2 linked regions of the Bombyx mori genome follow. The main gene of each other region encodes a partner of the protein of the gene in region 2 in a complex. Links are inferred from orthologs where the notes say so. Each region holds a gene or a part of one and is shown on either strand. Other genes may lie near its edges.

What was found.
Region 1: the proteins of Dhdds (region 2) and dehydrodolichyl diphosphate synthase complex subunit Nus1 are in contact, whole or in part, in a crystal structure (PDB 7PAX), measured with the Homo sapiens proteins. The link is inferred for Bombyx mori from reciprocal best matches to the Homo sapiens genes DHDDS and NUS1. Residues at the interface, in NP_995583.1 of Homo sapiens: Arg37, Arg38, Glu81, Asn82, Lys84, Arg85, Arg159, His160, Ile162, Ser163, Val166, Arg167, Met169, Ala170, Trp171, Val173, Glu174, Pro180, Ser181, Ile183, Ser184, Glu185, Leu188, His199, Glu209, Val210, Arg211, Leu212, Ser213, Asp214; in NP_612468.1 of Homo sapiens: His137, Gln138, Pro193, Glu194, Lys197, Ala198, Ile200, Val201, Ala204, Gln205, Phe207, Cys208, Gln209, Val211, Ala212, Arg217, Pro218, Thr219, Leu221, Asp222, Val223, Leu226, Asp237, Pro246, Val247, Asp248, Ser249, Thr250, Leu251, Gly252.

What each region holds. Positions count from the first base shown.
Region 1 is NC_085129.1:11,412,620-11,416,885, reverse strand, and holds dehydrodolichyl diphosphate synthase complex subunit Nus1, read right to left. Parts: upstream 2,988-4,266; 5' UTR 2,357-2,987; coding exon 2,056-2,356; intron 1,486-2,055; coding exon 1,022-1,485; 3' UTR 207-1,021; downstream 1-206. UniProt on the Homo sapiens protein: With DHDDS, forms the dehydrodolichyl diphosphate synthase (DDS) complex, an essential component of the dolichol monophosphate (Dol-P) biosynthetic machinery.
Region 2 is NC_085119.1:4,398,617-4,402,908, forward strand, and holds the start of Dhdds (dehydrodolichyl diphosphate synthase), read right to left. Parts: upstream 3,021-4,292; 5' UTR 2,772-3,020; coding exon 2,580-2,771; intron 2,440-2,579; coding exon 2,306-2,439; intron 1-2,305. UniProt on the Homo sapiens protein: With NUS1, forms the dehydrodolichyl diphosphate synthase (DDS) complex, an essential component of the dolichol monophosphate (Dol-P) biosynthetic machinery.

The sequences.
Region 1 (4,266 bases), on a different chromosome or scaffold from region 2:
AATTTATCTCTTACAGATGGAAGCTGTTATGTACGCGTTGAAGTGTATCTTAGTGATATTGTGTATAGTATTTTAGTGTGCAACAATCAATGATCCATCGCGTTATTCCAATAAAGTTTTTTTGAATCTATATTGATAAATTTCGTTTCTTTGTCCTTTCTGTGCATGATGGTATAAAAATGTTATAAAAGCAAAAAAAAAACAAGTTTTACCAATGTAACCTGTTTATTGATGTTTGCAATGCCCTACTAATATTACATTAAAAATACCAATGATAAATAACTACAAAACTGAAGAATAAGATAAAATGAAAGTATCACTGATCTCATCATTAATTACACTTATATTTCAATTTAAATTTTCATTTCAATCTAAAAACAAAATATCATTTTTCCTGAACTATTTGAAGGAAATCCTTACAAAAAATTAATTAGAGTTAACCTCTAATCAAACCAATAACCTAATCAGTGGTGAATTTATTAAAATTTAGTATTTACAATAAAAACAGTATTTAACTATTACACCACAAATATAAACTGCTACAGCATTTCCTTGAGTCATATGAGTCAAGCATAACTATATTGAATAATATGCACTTGAATATTTGATGATACAAAAGATAGAAACATGCCAAAATCATGTTGTGCTGTTACCTAATTAATAATTCTGTTTTAAATGTAAAGGAAATTAAAATCTGTTTTATCAGCGATGCATAAATTATTTTCATCGACAGAATTAAATTTTCATATACTTCAAAATATAACACCATGTCAAATACAGGCACATACCTACCTAATTTTAATATAATTTGATATATAGGAAATATACTATAATATGTAGACCATGTTACTTTGGTAAATTATCAAACAAGTTCTTGGCACTCATTTTTAAAAATCTCATTCTTGTGTTTATGAATTTCGCCTATTTACAAATACATTCAATATTTGACTGTTGTAAAATAAATTAAAATAATAAATTTACTTAGGCCTAGTATTGAATTTAATTTACTATCACTTCCAAGTTACGTTCCAAATCTTTGATCGCATTTACTATATTTATACATAGCACCTACAAAGCTTTCAACACTTAAATTATAGTCAACTGATAAACTTATGAACTCTGTAAGTCTTATTTGCCATGGCAATAAACCATGTGTACAACAAACTGGACCTGAAAATAATGCTAAATCAGGATCTGGAATGGAAGGGTATACTGCTGATATCACATCATCAAATTCTTGTGCGGTAATTTGGTCACTTTTTCTATTATATGGAATTTTTTCCTCACACATTTCTTTGATACATTGTGTAATTGTGGAACGTCCGTTCTGACAAGAAAAAATATTCACAACAATTTTATGTGCAGGAATGCCATTTGTATACCCATTCAAATCAGGTTTCTTTGACCATTTTATACACCCCGGAACACCTTTCTTGTTCTTCTCAACTGCATTAAAAAGTTTTTCTTCTTGATATGAAAGTTGACCTGCAAAGTTTTATTAATAAAGATTTCAAACTTATATTTTGTTTATTCAATAATACAGAGGATCTCTGATGTTTCAGCCTCAGTCTAATTTAGGTCCTGCTGTAATCCGATATACTATAACATATTACAGAATTATTTAAAAAATCTGTTATTTTGTGTCAGAGGTTATAGCTGTGTATGTCATTTATCAGCTTACATGGTACTGTTTTCAAAATAGTTCCAGACTACTGGAGACTAGACAGTACTCTATAATCCAACAAATTCAATTATCTGACAGTGGGTATTGAAACATTAGTCAAATTATGCAGATCAACTCTAAATTAGAAAATATTGTAATTAAGAGCTGAGAATTAATTTAGTGTTAATTTATTTTTTTATTATGTTGCATTAAATAAATATTTTTATTGAGAAAAGAAGTGCTATTCTTACAAGTCTAAATTTCTATACTAAAATAGATTCTTATCACAAAATCGACAAAATCCTGGGTTGGGTTTTATGAATTTCCAAGTGGTTAACAATAATATTTAATTTATTTTTTATATTGTAGTGTAAATTCATATTTTAACTCACCTGATACATCATAAAAACTTAAAAACGGTATTCCGGCTACTAAACTCCATATCACCATTCGAGCCAAATCATCTATTGAATGGTAATCGCTATCAGATAAAACAACTAAATGCTTTGGTTGTTTACTGAGTTTCGGTATATGCTTCACTATTAGCTTTAAATCAGTTTTTGTCACCTCATAGTCTTGTAAACTGTGCTTTTTAAGCCAATATCTGCAATAGACATTCTGAGCACCAACAATAAAATTTAAAATCAAATGTAGCAAAGCAAACAAGAACTGTCGAAGCAATCGTGACAGCATAATTCACATTAAATTATTATCCGCGACGTATGTAACGATAGTATTATTTTATTTCAACATTTTCGAGATAATATGAACTGAAAACTTTATATCTTTACTATATGATCACACGGCCTAGTCCATAGATTATACACTTAATATATTAGACAGCCGCTTTTCAAGAGCAGCCAATCACGAGCTTAAGAGTGGACAGTATGCAATGTTTACCAACGTTCAAAAATGAATTTACAGATTAGAGGAACTTTTTATATGACATTTCCACGCGGTTTTGCGTCACAGTTTGCTTGCGCTAGTGGTCAGCAGCTATCGATAGCGAAAGTCTATCGATGATTAGTACATGAATGTTAGGTTTTTTACTCAGATAAGTGAACCCTAGTATTAAGTGGTTACCAAAGCCCATAAACATCATAGTGTTAATTCCACCAGCCACCTTGCACCAGAATTAAGCAGAATATCGCGACGCTCCCTTGCCCGCAAGAACCCGTTAGGTAGCGTACTCGCAAAAGGTATCAATAGAATCTCCGCATATATTTTATAAATGTAGTGTGTTCTTTTTATAATGCTATTGCTGTTATTATTTTTTATTGTTATTGCTTCGTAGTGGAAGTCGTTTATGGATATGTTCCAACTTTTAGTTCGTATTTCTTTTCGCCCGTTTTCAATAACCTATCTGAGATTACCGATAGATAGCTATCTGCGCTTATCAGTAAGAGCGTATCTATTTTTAGCTTGCGTTTCACAATCACGGATATCTATCTTTAACCAACAGAGGATAGCTTCTTCCTTCTGATCTATCCGAGCCTCTTCATACGTTTCGTTCTACTGCAAATATGAAACAACATCAGGTTCAATACTTATTTTATTTTAGTCTAAATCATAACTGTAATTTAACCATCATATCGTATCGTATGTCGTATCACTCTTGTCAGAGCGGTCGTGGTCGTCATCCAGTATCATTGGTGTGGGCAGATGTTATGTGAGCAATCATATCGTAGACCATCATAAATTCATTTGTTTTTAATAACAATTAATAAAAACATATCGACGCTTGAAAGGCTAACGTGACTAAGCGACAATGCGTGAACTTTACTGTAGACTAATTTAAAGTCGAAATACCTGAAAAAAATCTATATTAACGAATCTAGCTGTAGGATTGAAATTATTTTAATAGACCTAGAAATATATTTTTTTTGCGCATCGAATATGGTTATTGCCTATCATTTATGTATAAAGCGGCTATTGTCGCTTAGTCACGTTTGCCTTTCAAGCGTCGATATGTATATTTTTTTAAATTGGACGTATTGTTATTTTTATACTAGTCGAAGTTATGAAACGAAACGTTTTGACCGCCCGTTTGCCAATGAGCAGTGGTCAGTTTCTTTTGTTTGTTTTTCTGTTGGTTTTCTGTTACTCGATAGTGAATTGCCTCCAAAACGCTTTAAAATTTTCGTTTATAATTTTAAGTATATAATGTGTATAATAATAATTTAATTGATATAGAGCTACAGTGAAATAAAATAAATTTTGTCAGTATCTATAAATTACATTGATAACTTTTTTTTGTGTTCAAGTTTTGAAAGATATATTTTTCAGTCAAGAAAGGCAATTCGGACGTTCTTTATTTTCTTTTAACCATATGATATCGGCTTCACTATCACTATCTGCATCACAATCTATCATCATTTGAAATAATTCCAAATCACTATCATCAATACTACAAGATGCCATTATGAAGAGAAACACTAATTAAATTATAGCTATTTAATTTCAAAAGGTAAACATGTAATCGGCCGATTTTGACAGATAAGCGGATGCCCTTACTAGAGATAACGCCGCCTATCGGAGAGTTACTTAAAACTCATATTGAAACGGGAGTAAACACGATTTGTATGAGCGTTCTATCTTTAGTA
Region 2 (4,292 bases):
TAAATACTATCAATCTATATTATACTATAAATGCTATCAAATAACACAATCAATTCAAGTTGCGGGTCTTATTACAATGGTATTGTATAATATCATCAGAGTGTGAACATGTATCATCGATTTTCTATTATTGCAGTTTCTTTTTTTCTTCCTACCTATTCTAGTAACTACATGGGGTTATACTAGATTCGCCGAGTGAGTAGTTGAGTTCACGGGGCTCTAACCTTTTTGTTTCGGTACTGGGGCCGAACCTCTTAGAAGGTACCCGCGCCTAGGGGGCGCCCGGGGTATGTGGGACTTGACGATCTGCAAGGTGTTTGGAGCAGTGTGCGGGCCCAAAGAATTGTAGGGCCCTAATGTACTAAACGACTCCCCTGCAGTCTTATACCCGACGTCTGATCTCCGTCCGGGGTCAGAACCTAGTCAGAGTAAGGGGTTCCCGCGGTCAACACTACAACTAGACACGCGGCGCCACCCCGAGGACGCCCGACCGACGGGTCGTCGAGCCGATAGTCGACGACCAACGACGCCTGTCTCCGCGGTACGGAGGCCCTACCAGACCGCCCGGGCGATGTCGCTGGTGTTCCGGGATACTCAGCTGGGCCAGAACCAGCCTGCCGGATCGGAACGTGATACACCGCTGACCGGTTTGCTCTTCCACAGTAGGTTTGAAGTCGTCGTGGCCTTAGGGATAGACGTCCGGTGCATTCGTGTTGAGCGATGCACCGGTGTTCAAGTCAATTCAATTTTTTTTCAATTTTCAATTTTTCTAATGAAATACGTACTCAACAAATATTCACGATTGACTTCCACGGTGAAGGAATAACAACGTGTAATAAAAATCAAACCCGCAAAATTATAATTTTTTCTTATCCTCTCGGCTCGTTTTTACATCTCATGACCGGCAAGAACAGATCGCGCAAAAACTAAAAAAAATTACCTCCAAATGCTTAGACCTTAGCTTTTCTGCAGTCAATTTTGGTTTGTTAACAAACAAACTAACCTTAAGAATGATAAAATTGTCAAAATATATTTTTTTGTAAGACCAAAAAAATTTAAGAATTTTCCACCTAGCTTTCTTTGAAGGTCAATTTTAGCCAAAGTAGCCCGTTAAGCTTTTTTTTATTGATTATGAAAGCTAAGAGTCTAGCGCATTTTTTAAAGTTACTTAGAAACTTATTTAATCACCTGTTTAGATTTTTTATTTAAAGTTGAAAATGTAAGTCTAATTCACAGACCGTAAATTTTTCTTTTTAACCCAAAATCTTTGCAACTTCCATAAAAGTTACGAAGCTGATTATTTTATGTGTAAAAGAACAACTTGTAGAATTAGTTGCAAATTAGAGAATATAAGATAAATTAGAGAATTAGTTGCAAAAAAAGTCTCGAAAAATCTAATTTTTTTTTTATTTTAAGTGGGCCATGTCGAAAATTCTCCAAAATTAGAAAAAAATTCATAACTCGAAAACTATCAAATATCGCGGAACATACATGGGGGTGATTCGGATACCTCACAACACGAGGGAACTAAATATTTTTTTGGACATCAATGTTCTGGCCACTCTTTATATTATAACTATATCTATACATATATCTCAAGGTGGGTGGCGCATTTACGTCGTAGATGTTTATGGGCTCCAGTAACCACTTAACACCATGTGGGCCCGGGCCACGACAAAAGTATAGTCTGCGTAGCAAACTACCCTCAGATTCGGGAGAGGAGCACGAAGGGCGCCCCGCAGGACCCAGTCGTAGCCGATGTTTCACGAGAGAGGGCCAAGGACCGACCCCTGTGGAACATCGCACTCGACACCATCAAAGCAAAGCACCATCCCACCGTACCCGGTGCACACGACTCACAAATACACATTAGGCTACCACAACTTCAATAAAAGTACACTGAGTGTCTTACTGATAAAACCAATGGCACCTTCATAGTTGACACTATCTTATGTAAAAATCGTTATCTAAAGCCCAAATAACAATTTAATTTTCATCTGATGAAAATACATAAATATTTTGAAACAACATATAATTTCATTAGTTTTTTACCAAAAGCTGTTGAAAATTTTGACTCAATTGGATAAATTAAACATAATCAGACCGAACGAGTAGAACCAAGAAATATTTGATTTATTTTAAAAATATCACTCATTGTTCAAACTATACGATTTGATCTCATTACATTTCAATATAATAATGGAACCTACTATCCTTCATTGACCAGCAGAGAATGCTTTCCTTAGACGTGAAGTCCACCACTGTACCCTTGATGATGTATGAATAAATTAATATTTATATTTACATTTCATCCAAGAGATTTTGGAATTTTTCTCGAGCCAATTCCATAAGTGCATCAACTTCTTCTTTGCTTCTCTTAAAGTTTTCTATGCTGAATGCATAAACAGTTACCTCAGGTATTCCTAAATCAAGGCACCACTGAAAACAGAATGTGTGAACTAATTTAAATTTATCAAACCTTTTAGTATTCTAAAATATTCTTAAATAATATTTTATTAAAAACTTAAAATTAACTTAGACTAACTAAGCAATAAAATACATTAAATATTTTTTTGCACCTTTAAGGTTTCAGAAAGCTTGTCAAAACCTTTATGATGACCAGTACTCTTGTCGACACTATTTTTTTTCGCGTAACGTCTGTTTCCATCCATTATGAATGCTATGTGTTGGGGTACTCGGCCGGTCTTTATTACTTTGATACAAAATAGTTGGAAAAATGATACACAGTTTTCTTTTATCCACAAAGACATCGTTAAAGAATTCACCAAAGCGAATATCGGTGTACATAAACGTAAAAATAATACGGTACGCGAAAACCACAACTTTAGCTTAGTATACAATATACAAATATACAATGTAGTTGAATGTAGCTTAGAAATACAGATATATGTTAATTTACACTTTATTCAACGTCAACCATCCACCAAACCATAGCTTATAAACTTGACATATTAAGTGTTTAATGTATGTATAAGCGTATAATCTATGCACTGCTAAAGTGTTCTATACACGTTCCATCTTGCTGTACGTCCCGCCAAAGCCATGCACGATCCACGATGCAAAAGTACCAAGAATAGGCTTAACGTACGTCGATAATCATTGTCGATATTAATTGTTTGCTGGATTTACACGATCAATTTTGCATCCAGCGAGCGCCCCCAGCACTGCGAACGTCGTGCAGATAGACAGTGAATAACGTGGACGTACATCAGAGCGGTCCTGCGTCGTGCGTGCTTGATCGTGTATAGACTTGTTGTACAGCAGATTTAACATATAAAGCTTGTTTCGAGAGGAGACTGCACGTCCCATTCCGACAGGAGCCCTCTTCTTCGATATAGCGAAGGCGTTCGACAAAGTCTGGCACAACGGTTTGATATACAAACTGTATAACATGGGAGTGCCAGACAGACTCGTGCTCATCATACGAGACTACTTGTCGAACCGTTCGTTCCAATATCGAGTCGAGGGAACGCGTTCCCGGCCCCGTCACGTCACAGCCGGAGTCCCGCAAGGCTCCGCTCTCTCCCCGTTACTATTTAGTTTGTATATCAACGATATACCCCGGTCTCCGGAGACCCATCTGGCGCTCTTCGCCGATGACACCGCCATCTACTACTCGTGTAGGAAGAAGGCGTTGCTTCATCGACGACTTCAGACCGCGGCTACCACCATGGGACAGTGGTTCCGGAAGTGGCGCATCGACATTAACCCCACGAAAAGCACAGCGGTGCTCTTCAAAAGGGGTCGCCCTCCGAACACCACGCTGAGCATCCCCCTCCCGACTAGGCGCGTCAATACCCCCGCCCCCGCCGTTCGCCCAATCACGATGTTCGACCAGCCCATACCGTGGGCCCCGAAGGTCAAATATTTAGGCGTCACCCTCGACAGTAGGATGACATTCCGCCCCCACATCAAGACGGTACGCGATCGTGCCGCCTTCATTCTAGGACGTCTCTACCCGATGATATGTAGGCGAAGTAAAATGTCCCTTAGAAATAAGGTGACACTCTACAAAACTTGCATACGCCCCGTCATGACCTATGCAAGTGTAGTGTTCGCTCACGCGGCCCGCACTCACTTAAAGTCATTCCAAATTATTCAATCCCGTTTTTGCAGGATAGCCGTCGGAGCCCCGTGGTTCGTCAGGAACGTCGACCTCCATGACGACCTGGACTTAGAGTCCATCAGTAAGTATCTGCAGTCGGCGTCCATGCGCCACTTCGATAAAGCGGCACGACATGAGAACCCTCTCATCGTGGCCGCCGGTAACT